2 linked regions of the Diceros bicornis minor genome follow. Each later gene encodes a partner of the first gene's protein in a complex. Links are inferred from orthologs where the notes say so. Each region holds a gene or a part of one and is shown in the gene's direction. Other genes may lie near its edges.

Region 1 (7,349 bases):
AGGACTCGCAGGGGCAGGTTGAGCCCCGCACAAGCACCCGGGCGGGGCTTGGGGATGGAGCGCCGCCCATCGGCCCCTCAGACCCCTCGCACCCAGAACTCCTCGGTGGGTCCAAACCCGTGTCCTGCCACCAGCCCCGACGGCGCGAGGCCGAGGGACCCAAGGAGAGGGGTGCAGGGCGTTAAGTATGCAACCCCTCTCTCCGCACCTGGAAAAAAAAAATCCCTTTCCCCCTCCCCTCCTGGCAAGTGTCCGAGCCCCAGAACTCGGAGATTCCCTCTAATAAAGCCCCCGACCGTCCCTCCACCCACCCCCAGGGCCAAGACGAAGGATGGAAATGTTTTGGGGCATTTCAAGGGCACAAAGAAGCAGGCTGGAAGGCACGAGGTTGCGGGGCCTCCCCGCAGACAGTCCCCGGGAAAGGGCAGGGATGGGGGGGCGAGTGACAAGTCCTGGAGGCGAGGGATGGGGCGTCGAGCCCTTCCCGGGCGGGGCGGCGGCGCCGCCGGAGACGAGGGTCTTAGCGCGGGCCCGCCCCCGGGAAGGTCCGGCTCCCGAGAGCCGCCGCCGCCGGTTTCCGAGGCCCCGCGAGTCTCCCCAGCAGCGCCCTGCGCCCTCGTCCGGGGCGGGAGTCTGCTCGCCTCGGGCAGGCCGCGGCCCTGCTTGGCCACGGGAGACGCGGGAGGGACAAGGCCTCTTAGGTCATTACCCCCACCTCCCGTCCGATTTCTTTGCCTTGGTTGGAGGTGGTTATTTTCTCAATCTGGGCGCCCACTCCACGACACTCGGCCAGGGGCCTGAGCCAAGAGGCCATGGAATTCCTAGTAGACTTTGGGGTTTCCTATTGCTTCGGGCACCAGGCGATGCGTTTTGAGGGCCGGAGGTCAAGGAGTTAGAATCTTCTTTCGCCCCCAAGTGTGCACCTTTTCCCTTGGGATCCCAGAGGCGTTGGGAGTCAGCCTCCCCCCCCCCCCCACGTTGGGGTTTGGTTTTTAACTCCAGCACACACCTCGCCCACCGCCTTCAGAGGTGGGGGAGGGGTGTCCCGGCCCCGCAGCCTGCCCGACCCAGGACGGGGGCACGCGAAAGAGGGGTAATCTGTGTGTGCCTGAAATTAACTGATCAGAGGCGGAAACGCACGTCCGTGGCTTGGGGCGGTGGGAGGTGCGGCTGCCCCCGTTCCCAGCGTGTGACTGTCCCGGGTGGGCGCCTGGGCCAGAGTTCGCCCCAGCGCGTCCCGCAGCTTTGGGGCGCGGGGGATCGGCACCGCGTAGCCCAGGAGCTACCGCAGCACGTGGACCGCCATGCGTGCCCCCAAAGCGAGAAGCGTGGGGGAAGGGGAGCCCAAGCGCCCCGGAACCCCGCGGCCCACATTCGGAAGCGTTTTCCAGGGCTACTTAAGGGCTTAACAATGGAAAACTCGCGGAGCCGGAGCCAAGTCCTTTCAAGTCGCCGCCAGGTATGCGGCTGCAGGTGACCCCACCTTGCTGCGCCCGCCCGCCCGCCGCCCCGGTCCTCTGGGGAGAGGGCGGGTGTCAGAGGTCAACGTTGGTGGAAGGTCTCCACTGGGGTCTGCAACCCCTTCCCAAAGCCCCTCACTGGGCAGCGCGCAGCCGCGGTGCGTCCCGGAGTCGGCGCCGCGGCGCGCTGGTTCCTGAATGAACGCACTCCCTTCCCCCGCCTTGAATGAAGATTCCCACAGCCAGGGACGGTGGCAAACGCGCCTGCCGCGGAATTCGCCCTCTCCGGGTGGACGATCCGCCCCGGCCGTGGTCGCCCCAGTGGGGGGCCGGGGGGCGAGGAAAGTGGGAAGGTGATTTAAGTTACTTTTGGATTTTCTTTCCAATCAAAGTGGTTTCCCTCCCGACTGTGCCACCAGCCTTTTGTCTCCAAATGGTCACCAAGAAATAAGCGCAGAGCCCAGAATTCGCAGTTCCCGCTTCTTGGTGGGTTTTTAAAGGCAGTGAAAAATTAAAACTGCAACAGAAAACTTTTTAAAAATTGCTTTTCTCTGGGAAAAAAAAATTAAAATCAAAATTTTTATTTTGTCTCCTAGAAGCAATCGCCCTCCAGGGCCCGGGGCTGTTGGCCCCCTCGGGGGCTCCGGGACACGCAGATCGGGGCTCCCCGGGGTGGGGGCTGGGCGGCTGGAGCTCCCTGCCCGGCTCCAAATTCCAGCGCCTCCCCCGCGGGTTCCTGGACGGCTCTTCACGCTCGCCGGCTGGGCTTGCACTTTTGCGCCCGTCCCTGAGCGGGGAAATCAACGAAGTTCCTCGTCGAGATCTGCCCGGTCCGCCTAGTAACAGCGCCGCGCCCCCATTGGCTCATGCTAATTCCAGTTTCCTCTGTCTTTCTCCCGGGTTGGGGGGAAGCTCCCTCCTGGACCTGGAGCCCCTTTTGCCGGAGTGGGCGAGCCTCCTTATGCCCCGCTGCCCCTCGCTGTCGCCCGCCCGCCTCGGGCAGGGCCGGGGCGCACGCGAGGCTCGGGCCCCCACGCCCCCCGGGACGGGAGTCGCCAGGCGAGAGCGCGCGGCCCCATAAATCATCGGGGCGGCCGCCCGGTCGGGATTTTATGAATGAAAAAGCAGTCGGCAGCCCTCGTGCGCGGGCTGATGCTCCGAGGCTCCGCCGTGCCCCCGGGCCGGCGTGAGCGTGGGTGCCCGGGGAGGGGGACACGGCGGGGGGCGCTCCCTGTTCGGGCCACCCACCACTTCGGAGGCGTGAGCCGGGGGTAATTACCCTCCCGGACCCTGAATATTAGTAACCCTAATTCCCGGCGGGGGAGGGGGCGCAGGAACAATCAGCCCCGAAAGGGCGGAGAGTCTTATCTTGCTGCGTGCGCCCTTGTGAAGGGGAGGGGGCTTTTTTATCCGTTTTCTTTGCGTCTTTACTGTTAGGGGATCCGGTGGTTTGATGACACTAAACTGTATTCAGAGGGAAGTAAATGAACAGTTTTCTTAATTTGGGGCAGGTAGTGTAAAAACTGTAAAAAAAAATGTTAAGACTGGGTAAAATGTCTTTTTATTAAAAAAAATGCACCAAGAAGAATCTTTGATTAAAAAAACACTTTATTCTTTTGTATGTCTCTGAAGGTTGCGATAATATTGGGGACCCTCTCATAAAACCACGAACATATATAGATTTTGTTTAAAATTATCAGATCAACACACCCATTTCTTTAACTTAATAATTGTCCTACTTTTTGCAAGCTCCTGCCATCCCCTTCAAGCTCACGAATGCAGCCCCAGGGCAAATTCTAAAGGTGATAAGGTGTCCACACCCCTAACAAAACCAATTAGGACGCTTCCGGTGGTCTTCTCCCAGGCAGAGAGGCGACTAATAGTTCCAGCGATTTAATTTATTCTTTAATTAAAAAGTGAGACAAGACAGAGACCCGTTTTGCAGCCTTCCATTCAGTGGTGTTTTTCCAGCTGTTAAATTGGCGGGACGTGGTGGGGGGGGCATTTGGAGACCCCCGCAAGGATGGACTGCCTAAGGTGGGAAGACAGCCCGGAGATCCCCCCGGCGAGGAGGACAGGATGAAGGAAATGCTGGCCACCATCTTGGGCTGCTGCTGGAATTTTCGGGCATTTATTTTATTTTATTTTTTGCGCTAGCGCATGCTAGGTTGAAATCCCTTTAACGTTTAGGGTTACCCCCTGGGCATTTGCAACGACCCCCCTGTGCGCCGGAATGAAGCCTCCACCGGGAGTGTGGGCTCTGCCCTACGTCCCTGAGCGTTAAATGGTTCCTGAAATTTACACGTGTTAATGAAAATGAAGATGTAAACGCTGAGATTCCTTGGCGGCCTCTTCGCCCGTGGGTGCCCTCGTGGCGTTCTCGGAAATGCGCCCATTCTCCCGGCTCGGATATAGGGTGTCGCCGAGCCCCAGAGTCCCCCCTCCATGCGGTCTCCCCGGCTGCGTGTGGCCTGCCCGCCCTCCTAGTTGTCCCTCTCTGCAGAGCCACCTCCACCCCACCCTCAAAATCCCAGGGGACCCACTCGGGGAGGACAGACCCCCCTGCACCCCTCTTCCCCAGCGGGGAGAAAGGCAGCCATGGGGCGATTTGCATTTCTATGAAAACCGGGCTTCGGGGGCAACTCCGCCGCGGGGCAGGCGCGGCGCCTCCGGGATGGCTTTTGGGCTCTGCCCCTCGCCGCTCCCCAGCGCTCGGCGCCCGCGCCCCCTCCCCCTGCGCCCGCCCCCGCCCCCCCCACCCCCGCTCCCATTCTCTGCCCGGCTTTGATCTCTGCTTAACAACAGTAACGTCACACGGACTACAGGGGAGTTTTGTTGGAAGTTGCAAAGTCCTGGAGCCTCCAGAGGGCTGTCGGCGCAGTAGCAGCGAGCAGCAGCGTCCGCGCGCTCCGGCGAGGGGCAGAAGAGCTCGAGGGAGCGCGGGGCAGCAGGAGCGAGAGCCGAGCCCAGACCGAGCCCCGGGGACCCACCGCCCGCCCCAGGCCACCCAGCAGAGCCCCAGCCATGGCACACCAGCTCCTGTGCTGCGAGGGGGAGACCATCCGCCGGGCGTACCCCGATGCCAACCTCCTCAACGACCGGGTGCTGCGGGCCATGCTCAAGGCGGAGGAGACCTGCGCGCCCTCGGTGTCCTACTTCAAGTGTGTGCAGAAGGAGATCCTGCCGTCCATGCGGAAGATCGTGGCCACATGGATGCTGGAGGTGCGGGGCTTCGGCGGTTCTCTTGAGACTTTCCTGCAACTTGTTGCTCAGACCCACATTTCTTTGCCACTCGTCTCCCTCCCTTCTCTCTCACCCCAACTTTGAAGTTTGCGGGACTGTTGCTAGGAGTCGTATTTTCAAAATACATAGATATTGTGGGTGTTTTTTGCACGAGGAGGGGGTGGGGGAATTAGAAATACTCTTTCCTGGGGGGGGCGGGGAGCGGTCGGGGAGGGGTGCCTTCGGGGAAAGCCCGTGCCAGGGGCACCCCAATTGACTCGAGGGTGCGGGCCAGCAGGCTGGGCGCCCCTTATGGTCCCCTCCTGGGCCGCCACCGCGCACCCCCGCCTGCGCCCGTGCCCGGCTGTGCCTCCTCTCCCGGCCGCGCGGCCACTGAGCCGCCAGCTCCAGGGGGAGGGGGCATAGATTTGATTTTTAAATTAATACCCATGGACACGTATGCAAGGGCCGCTCGTGCCAGTATTATGCGCCATCTTTGTTCTTTTATTGCAAAGCAAAAGTGTTTATTAATAATTGGGGGCAGGGTGGGGGCGGGGAGCGGCCGGCGAGGCGCTGGGGCCGCCGCGAGGGGCCGCGCGGCCGCCGGGAGGGGCGCGGGGACAGAGCGCGGGCAGTTTTGGGGGGACCCCGCTCGGGAAGGGGGGCCCCTTTGTTCAAGCACCGAGTCCCGGGGCGCCCCGCACTGCCAGCCTGGGCCGGAGAGCACGCCGGGCTGCAAGGTCGCGTGGCCCCCAGGAGGCTAGGGACTGACCCTTGTCTGCAGGGGTCTCAGCTTGGGGGACCTGTGTGGAGCGAGCCGGGGGCCCGGGTCACATTTTCAGGCTTTCAGTGGGTGCCTGGGGCGCCCGCAAGTATTTTAAAATAATTTTTGAAAGTGCGGCGTGGTGCCCTTGCGAGAGGGAAGCGGCGCCCGCGCCCAAGGGGAGGGGGGGGGGCCGAGTTTTAATTCCTGGGGCTCTCCCCCGAGCCTGCAACGAGCTCCCGACCCCCGGACTGGGTAAAGGGCCGTCCGAGGGTCATTTTCATGGGTTTTTTATGTACTCAAATAATTTTTTTATATTTTTAAATATTTTTTGAAAAGATGACGTCTGGGGAAATGCGGCGCGGCGGCCTGGGACGCCACCTTTGTGTCTCGCAGGCGCAGCGAGCGCGGCGCCCGGCCCCGCGGTCCGCCCCGCGGCCCCGCACCCCGTTTCGTGCCGACCCCCGGCCAGGCGGGCCCCGGAGCCCCCACGCGGGCCGGGGTCTCGGGGGCTGGCAGCCCGCGCGCGGCGCATGCCGCCCAGCCGTGCCCGCTCCCGCCCCCGCCGTGCCAGCCTCGCGGGGACTTTCCCTTTCAGTTTCAGGGTGGGTGGGTATTGGGGACACCCGGGGGAGGGGGCGCGTCCCCGGAAGCGTCTGCGGCCCCCTGCCGCGACCCTCGGCGCGCTCGGGGCCCCGCGGGCCGGCGCGCGCGGGGTGGGGGGCGCGGGGTCTCCGCGGAGGGGGCCCGGCGCGCGCGCGGCGGCGGTCACGGCCCCGGTGCCCCGGCAGGTCTGCGAGGAGCAGAAGTGCGAGGAGGAGGTCTTCCCGCTGGCCATGAACTACCTGGACCGCTTCCTGTCGCTGGAGCCCGTGAAGAAGAGCCGCCTGCAGCTGCTGGGGGCTACCTGCATGTTCGTGGCCTCCAAGATGAAGGAGACCATCCCCCTGACGGCCGAGAAGCTGTGCATCTACACTGACAACTCCATCCGGCCCGACGAGCTGCTGGTAACCCCGCGACCCCCGCCGCCCACCGACGCCCCAGTAGCCGCGGGACCCCGGGGGTGGGGGAGGTGCAGAGGTGGGGGGCCCCGGCCGGCTGCTGACAGACCCTGGGCCCCGAGGGCGGGCGGCCACACTGCTTGGGGGCCCCCGCCTCGAGGAGCCGGCGCGACCCCCGGCGCCCCCCGTCCCCGCCGCCGTCCCCGCCGCCCCACCTCGCACTTTCGCTCGGACTCCCACCGCGTCTGCGCCCCGGACGCGCCCGAAAAGTGGGCGGCGCGCGCCCTCTAGCGGCGGCAGCGCGTTTACGACCGGGCGGCGTGTCCCGGGTGTGGGAGGTCTTTTTTGTGTCCACTTGGGAACAGGCGGCTTAACCGTGAGCAGGAGCGTTTGCCGGCGGCACCTTCTCTTTTTTGACCTGGGATCGCGTGTTGTCCCCCTCTTCCTGGAGCCCGACATCCCCCATCCCTTCTCTCCAGGCCCCTGTCCCCCCGCCCCCGCGGCTGCCCTGCGCGCCTCTTTATGCTCGTCCACCCCGTTTCCACAGCAAATGGAGCTGCTCCTGGTGAACAAGCTGAAATGGAACCTGGCAGCCATGACCCCGCACGATTTCATCGAGCACTTCCTCTCCAAAATGCCGGTGGCGGAGGACAACCAACAGATCATCCGCAAGCACGCGCAGACCTTCGTCGCCCTCTGCGCCACAGGTAGGGCGGCTGGCCTGCTGCCCCGGCCTCCCTGGGGGTCCCCCGGCGGAGCTTCCTGCCCTCTGACTCAGTTTCCCCATCTGATGCTCCCCCGGCCCCGCCTGCCCTGGGAAGCGCTCCTCCGTCTCTGTTCTGTTGAGCAGAGGGCTTGGGCGGTTTGTGCTGGATGGAGGGGTGCTGCCCCCCGGGGGCGGGC
Region 2 (7,872 bases), about 19 Mb from region 1:
AGTCACAGAGTGAAGACATATAAGAGGTGGGGAAAGGGATAAAATAAAAGCTAGACAGATAATAGACATACTACGATTGTATCCCTACCTGAAACAATAAACTGAAAACAACTCAAAGACTGGGCTCCCCAGTCGCTTTCCCTGGCAATGGAAGGGAAGTTCGGAGGAGGACAAGAAAGAAAGGAATCAAGCGATCTTAACAATTGTGCATGCACATATTCTTAGGACCCATAGTGCTCTCCAGATCCCACCCAGATTTTATGAAATTGTGGGTATAAGAGGTCAGGGACTCCAAATTAAGTAGGACTGTGTTGGTTGTAAGGATGGCAATGAGGGAAGGAAGGGAAAACACTTGCTGGAGGCTGGGGACACCCCAGTTCCCTAACATCAAGTTCACAGGCTTTTTGTTTTCTGTGACTACAATCTAAGACCCACTTTGTGACAATCAAATGGGAGAGAGAAAATCTTTGGATGCTAAACAGGAGCACGAAAAGTAGACCTTGAAATCGTAGGTTAGTAAATTTCAAAAAGTCCGTTTGAAAGGAATCTCCATGTTTACCCAGCCAAACATTAAAGATCTATCATTCTGTTGAGACTTTTCTAATCCTTACATATACACCTATCTTTATGGAAGGGCTGATTTCTTGGTCATTCTAGACTGTTAAAATGTTCATACATTTCAATCCAGTGATAAATCCCACCACTGGAAATTTATCCTATATCAATCATTCCAAAGAAGGAAGAGCCTTCTATCATTCTACTGTAAATGCTTACTTGCTGTTCTGGGATCTCCTCCCTTCCCTGGACTTCTCCTACATCACTAGACTGCTTCCACCTTTCCCAGCCAGCCCAAAGTGTGTATGCCCCACAGCCCCACAGAGCTATGAGACCAGGCTACAAAAGAACAGAATAGAATTGCAACAGCAAAACCTGCTACTGGCTCATCATTTTGGCTGCTTGAGGCCTGACTCCTCTTCCTGGACTTCCTAATAAGACGACTCATGGTACTGCTACAGAGTTACCTCATCCTAGGTTCAGGCCTGATTTCTACCACCCAGAGTGTGGTAGATGTTTCTCAGCTCCCAGAGCCAAGATAAGGAACAGACTTCTCCCCTTCTCTCCTTTCCCCTCTCTTCACCCTTCATCCCAGGCAATTCTCCCAGGTCAACATGTCCCAATCCTCTTTTCCTGGTTTAGACTTGCCAAATTTTTTTCACGTGATTGACAGTGGCTAGATCCATTCTTAGGGTGACCAACTGTCCCAGTTTGCCCAGAGCTGTCGCAGTTTTAGCACTGAAAGTCCTGTGTCCTGGGAAACCTCTTAGTCTTCAGCAAACTGGGACAGTTGGTCACCCTACTTCAGGGGAAGTGTGATCTTACCTCCAAGGGGATAGCTCCCAGAGGAGAATCTTATCAGAATACAATAATCAACAATCAAAATAATAATGAGTTATTGAGTCTTAATACCAATATGTAGGCATCAGTGGTACATCCCAGGATTATGTTTACTTCTGCCCACCTGGTTTCTTTTTTTCAAGTCTTCCTCCTGTGTGAGGAGATTCCTGTAGCTTTGAGGGTTTCAATTCCTGATCTGTTGATCTACTCTTCTGTCCAGATAGACTTCTCCATAAGAACAAGCAGTAGTTTGTGGTCACACTGAAGTCTAAATCCACACTAGAAAAGAAAGAGTTCTCTGAAGAAATTTATCTGTAGAGATGCAACTCTGCCTGCAGAATGAGCCGTCTTTTCCATGGTTTCACAGGCTAGTCTAAGCTTCTCAAATATCTCCATTTTCAGACGATGATTTTGGATTTATATTTGCATAACCTTCAGGTGTTTTCCCCAAAATAAAAGCCTCCGGCATTTAAAAAACCAACAACTTCTTGTGCCTTGAAGTTAGTTTCTTTAGTTTTTCTCACTGAAATCAAGGTTTCAAAATAATGTCGTTATCTGGGTCAAATTTGAATGAGGCTGTAACTCTACAAAGTTATGCCCCACAAGCCTCTCCAAGAAGGAAGCTTCTCTAAAGCCTGTGTTCTAGCAGTAGAAACTCAGCCCTGGGATGACAGCAAAGGAAAGTCTATTTGCGCACTCCTCATCTGGCTCCAGGAATGTGCCAGAGACTGCTTATTTAATTGTCCTCTTTTCCATTTGCCCCTGACTTTTACGGGTACATGGCTGCCCGGCATAAAGACTAACTCCCAGTTAGGTGTGGCTGTGTGACTAAATTCTGACCAGCGGCATATAAGTGGAAATGTCCTGTGCTATTTTCAAGATGTGTCCTTATGGCTAGGAGACATGCCTTTCCTCTTTCAGCTTCCTGCTGGGTGGAATGTAGACATGACGTCTAGAGCTAGAGCAGCTGTCTTGGACCTGAGATGAAAGCCACTTATTGAAGATGTCAATGCAACAAGATAGAAGCCTGGTCCCTAACACTGAACGGCCACACCTTACCCTAGGCTGTACATCTCTGGATTTCTTTTACATGACAGAGAAATAGACCGATACCTTGCTTCCTTACTCTTTTTGTTTATGTGCAATAGGTCTTAATAATAAATAATAAAGTTATAACTGCCTCTTTCCAAGATCATCAATACCTATTATGCAGAAAACGTTTGGAAGCAACATACAAATTCAACAATGGGGCTCATGGTCAGTATATCCTCTCAATGGAATATTGTGCAATTGTTAAAAATAACAACTACTAAAGACTTTAATAGGGAAACAATATAATGCAAAACAATAACAGTGTTGTATCTCTGCTTAAACTTTAATTAAACTTTAATTTATTTATTTGTTTTTCCCCCAAAGCCCCAGTAGATAGTTGTATGTCACAGCTGCACATCCTTCTAGTTGCTGTACGTGGGACGCGGCCTCAGCATGGCCGGAGAATCCGTGTGGCGGTGCACGCCCAGGATCTGAACCCGGGCCGCCAGTAGCGGAGGGCGTGCACTTAACCGCTACGCCAGGGCGCTGGCCCTCTCTGCTTAAACTTTAAAAAATTATGTAGGATATTTCCAAGGACTGCATGGGAACATGAACAAATTAAAACTTTGTGTTTTGGATGCAGATTATTAATTCTTTCTTTAGTTTTAGACTTTCGTAAATGTTGCTATAATGTTTACTGATTTTAAAAGTCTCCTAAAACAGTGGTAGACAACAAAAGCCCAGTGTTTTGTCCTCATATTATGGATGCTGTTTTATCTTCCATTATATATATGAGTTGTCCCTTCAGTATTTTCACGGACTTACAGGAGGAGATTTTTTTTTTTTTTTAAAGATTTTATTTATTTATTTTTCCCCCAACGCCCCAGTAGATAGCTGTCTGTCATAGCTGCACATCCTTCTAGTTGCTGTATGTGGGACGCGGCCTCAGCGTGGCCGGAGAAGCGGCGCGTCGGTGCGATCCCGGGATCCGAACCCGGGCCGCCAGCAGCGGAGCGCGCGCACTTAACCGCTAAGCCACGGGGCCGGCCCCAGGAGGAGATTTTTTTAAAAATTACAATAAATTGGGGTCAGCCTGGTGGTGCAGTGGTTAAGTTCGCCTGCTCTGCTTCGGAGGCCCAGGGTTCACAGGTTCAGATCCTGGTTGTGGACCTACACACTGCTCATCAAGCCATGCTGTGGTGACGTCTGTCCCACAAACAAAATAGAGGAAGATTCGCACAGATGTCAGCTCAGGGACAATCTTCCTCAAGCGAAAAAAAAAAAAAAAAAAAAACATAAGGTGGAGAATTGGCAACAGATGTTAGCTCAGGGCCAATCTTCCACACCAAAAAAAGAAAAAATCAAGTAAAAATAATTACAATAAATTGTAAATAAAGCTAATGTTGTAAGGATGGCGTCTTTCACTTTGATTAGATTATAAGCTCTTTAAGGGCTGGGACTATCTTGTTTCCTTTTTACATCTTTACTCTGCAAGTCTCCCCCCTCCTTAGGAGGAGGTACGGTCAACTGTGTTATTGCTCACACTTGGTAATCCATATTTGTAGTGATCTGACTATGTGATTTATTGAATTGTCCCTAGGATGCACATATTAATCCATATTTGCGCTAAGCATATTAGGTTGCCTACTAAGAGACTTCAGAAAGAGGCTATTGTGAGGAAGAAAATGTCAACACACTTTGACAGGTTCTGAACCCAAAGAGACTTTTGTTCATTTAGTAAGCACACCTGTGGTTCTAGGCCTTTGGAAGAAAATAAAAGAGAAAAGCAGTACGTATATTACTTTTTTTCCTGCCTTAAGGTCAGACTACACAACCCTGAATTTTCCCAGCTTCTCCATGCTATGCTTACAGGAGCTAAATTGGAGCTTTAAATAGAGATTATTCACTTTGTTCCTCAGTCTGGATTCTCTCTTTGTGCCTCTATCACATATATATCCTTTATTCGCTTCACCATTCTGTGAGAAACTGAGTCACTAACTCACTCACTACACTAACTCACTGTGCGAAAACTGAGTCAAATTTGCTCAATGGGATAGTTTCCGGAGCCCCTAAGGTAGTCGCTGAACTATAGTTAGATAACAAGTGTTATGTACTATGACTTAATCTTCAACACTCTCAATAAAAACTCCGGTTCTCTAAATAACTAAAACAGCCGGCAACCGACACAGAAAATGCCAGAAGCACAGACTCCTTTACTCCATGGCTTATGATCTGGGTTTGTTTGTTTATGCCTTGGACAGGAGCCGGACCTTGAGTCGGAGCGGAGCTGTTTTTCGGTGCTCGACTGCAGTTCCTTGAACGATCGCCTGCGCGCTCCTCCATTGATGTCTGGGGCGTTCGTGTATTCGGTGATCTTTTGCGCCGTCTTCTTGCTTGATGTCTCCTGAGGCGCGGCGGCGCCGGGTCGAAGGCTGACTTTTCCGCGAGGCCCCGCGCTCAGGCTGCTTTCTCCCGCTGGTCGGTGGAGCGGATCCCTTGCTACCTTCCTGCCTCTTCTTCCTCTCTGTGGCTCAGTCCCCCCACTGGGCAGCAAACTGACTCCCCGCCCGCCTTGCAGGTAGGCCTGGAGGAGCCTGGGAGGCTGGGCCCGGCATCCTTCCGCCGCCGGGTTGAGAAGACCTTGGCGCCGGCGGGTGGGCGGGCGGGTCGGCCGCGAAGACTCGGCCAGAGGAGGAGCCACCCGGCTGGGTTCGGGGGCGCGGTCGGAGAGGCGGCGGAGAACTGAGGGAGAAGCCGGAGAGAGGAAAAGATGTTGGGGCCGCCCAGTGTGGTTCGGTAGGGAGGGGTTGTTGGGTCTAGGGTGGGTGTCGCACCCCCAGAGTGTGGGGAAAATCGCTTTCCAGGAACGGATAGAGCTTTGCGCGCTTTGACCCTCCTCCCTTTCTTCTCCCCCCTCCCCGCCCTCAAGGCTCTGGGTGTCATGACTCAATTGCATTGGGGACCCCCTGTGAGTCCGGCCTTTGAAGGGACCCTTGAGTAGGTGGAGGCTTGTGGAACAAGGCCCTCTGGCTCCTCTGAGCGAGGTGTCGTGTTCTCGCCTTTTTCGGGTAGGGAAACTGAGGCTGAGGTCTGGGACGTGGCTTTGCCCCGTATCCCCGGCACATCTTTAACTGCACCGTAAGTCATTTTTTTGTCATTTGCCCGTTCACTTTTTTTTTTTTCATTTTACCAGTCAGTTTATGCACGCAGTGATTTGCCTTTTGATTATCTGTGTTCCCTCCTCCTTAGGAATATAGATTCTGTCACTGGAGACTTCAGAAGTAAAGAGACTGTGTGATCTTGTGGCCGGTTTTGCTTTTTAAAGTCTGTATCATTTTAGCGAGAGTAGCAATGACAATTTCTTTTTCTTTGTTGATAGAAAATTTAGTTTGCTGTCCAGTTTGCGTTCTGGTTGATACTTCGCTTCCTTCTCCTCAGCCTGTTTTTCAGTGAAAATCTTTCAACTGTGCTGTTGAGTAGTTAATGTCCAACAGAGGATGGTCAAATTTTGAAGTCAGATATCTGTCCTGAGAGAGTTTGCTTTCTAGGAAGAATCCAAAGGAAACCTAAGGAGTCTTTTTTGGAACAGATTTATCATATTTAATTAGTGGCTTAGTTACTGCATGTATTAGAGTTAAAAAGGCTGTGTGTAGGAATCATTCAAATATTGAGATATTTAAATTGAAAGTTAATATTCTGGGAACTCCAGTATGTTTTCCTTTTCTCTCCCAACTTGGAAACTTGGAGGACTAAGTGTTCTTACTCATTTTATTTTCATTGGATTTAGTGTCACGATCCTAATTCGTGTAACTGTTGAAAAAAATAATCAGCCTAGAGGTCATTCTAGGTTGAATAAGTATTTCCATGGTATGTAGAATCAGTAGGAGAATGGTTTTAAGGGAGAACAGACTAAATTCCTAGTCCTTGGGTGGAAACTATACAAATCTATGTTCCTTTAATAATTTCAGAATTCTCATATGAGTTTTGGAAAGATTATTTTTCCTCTAATTTTTTTCTTTTGGTGAATTCAGCAAGATTTAAATGAAGGGCCCTTGATCATGAGTGATTTTTCCTAGTTACCAGGACCTCAGTACTTCCAGAAAGGGATTAATGAAGAGCCATCAGACTATCTTTATGGAGAATCTAGATTGGGAAGTTAGGCTGAGAATGTGTGTTCTCTGAAAGATTTTTTATGATAGAAGAGAATTTATATCAGAGGAGAGACTTTAGAGAAGGAAGCACATTATCCCCTGGGGTTGGATAGATTCTGCATAGAATTTAGAGTTAGTATCTCAGTGGCTCCTAATGAAATGGAGTTTGCTATGAGTGTCACAAAGAAATGTTAGGAACATTTTATGTTTCTGTAGGAAATAATTAGCAGAGGTTTAAGTTGAATTGAAGAGGATAAGAAATTTGGTTGTAGTGGGGGGAGGTTACAGGGATACAGCTTCTTATCAGCTTCTCACCTGCTTTGTCATAGAAATTCACTCAACTTTTACCTTTCTTGGTTAAATCTTGTGTTCTGTCAGTGTCAGATCAAGCTCTCATTTGGCATTTCCTTTCCGAAATTTGCAGGTTCAGAATGTGACTGAATTATTCTATCTTCTCTTTTAGTAAGAAAGTTCTTGGGGATTATTAAAGATGTGAACTTGTTTGAATGTTTTCTAGAACTTGTCCTGGAAGGAGTTATGTATGTCGCTTGAAAAAAATTAGTTATGCATATCACTTGAAAACAGTTGGTTATTTTTATTAGCATGGTAATAACTTAATTTTACACCATATAATTTTCAAACTATTTTTAACATGTTAGAAAACTTATGAAACTTTTTTTCTTTTGATCATGCTCCTTATTAATACTGATCTAAACATTTATGGTCTTCAAGGATCTTCATGAATATTGGCAGTTTATGTTGACAATTTTTCTCGCTCTTCCTGTTTATCTCACTCTTTAAAGGAATTGAAGAAAAAGTTTTGTTGTTAACACACTGAAGTCTCTTTCTTTAAGATATGTCTCAGCCTTGATAGACTTATTTTGGAATGGAATACAAATCTTTTTGCCCAGTGGTTTGGTTTACCAAAAAAACCCCTTAAGTTCCTTTAATCATAGTCATTCTTGTTTCTTTCTCCAATTGTTCCTCATAAACCCAGAGAGAACTTTCTGTTTCTTGTCATAATTTCTGTTTGTACAAAAGTGCTATGGTACAACCTGTCCTGCGGTTTGCGGTAATTTATATTTTATATTTTCAAACCCCTTCTCCCTCCAAGTTAAATAGATGTATTTTTTTTTCCTTTTCGCAAAGCTAAAATTAGTTGCCGATAAAAATTTTGTGATCAGTTATTGTCAGAATGTATTTATGTGCCCAGTAGTATGTGGCAGTCTGCCAAAGTGATGTGGTAAGAAGAAAACAGATTAAGGAATCAGGAGACCTGGGTTTAAGTCCTAGG

The links.
Region 2: the proteins of CCND1 (region 1) and AMBRA1 are in contact, whole or in part, in a cryo-EM structure (PDB 9IVD), measured with the Homo sapiens proteins. The link is inferred for Diceros bicornis minor from reciprocal best matches to the Homo sapiens genes CCND1 and AMBRA1. Residues at the interface, in NP_444284.1 of Homo sapiens: Thr286, Pro287, Thr288, Asp289, Val290, Arg291, Val293, Asp294, Ile295; in NP_001354397.1 of Homo sapiens: Arg54, Ser55, Phe57, Val73, His75, Arg96, Thr97, Trp99, Leu116, Ala139, Arg184, Ile945, Asn1012, Asn1029.

What each region holds. Positions count from the first base shown.
Region 1 is NC_080770.1:4,497,196-4,504,544, reverse strand, and holds the start of CCND1 (G1/S-specific cyclin-D1), read left to right. Parts: upstream 1-4,321; 5' UTR 4,322-4,484; coding exon 4,485-4,682; intron 4,683-6,236; coding exon 6,237-6,452; intron 6,453-6,993; coding exon 6,994-7,153; intron 7,154-7,349. UniProt on the Homo sapiens protein: Regulatory component of the cyclin D1-CDK4 (DC) complex that phosphorylates and inhibits members of the retinoblastoma (RB) protein family including RB1 and regulates the cell-cycle during G(1)/S transition.
Region 2 is NC_080770.1:23,673,509-23,681,380, forward strand, and holds the start of AMBRA1 (activating molecule in BECN1-regulated autophagy protein 1), read left to right. Parts: upstream 1-4,815; 5' UTR 4,816-5,005; intron 5,006-5,046; exon of another isoform or gene 5,047-5,223; intron 5,224-7,872. UniProt on the Homo sapiens protein: Substrate-recognition component of a DCX (DDB1-CUL4-X-box) E3 ubiquitin-protein ligase complex involved in cell cycle control and autophagy.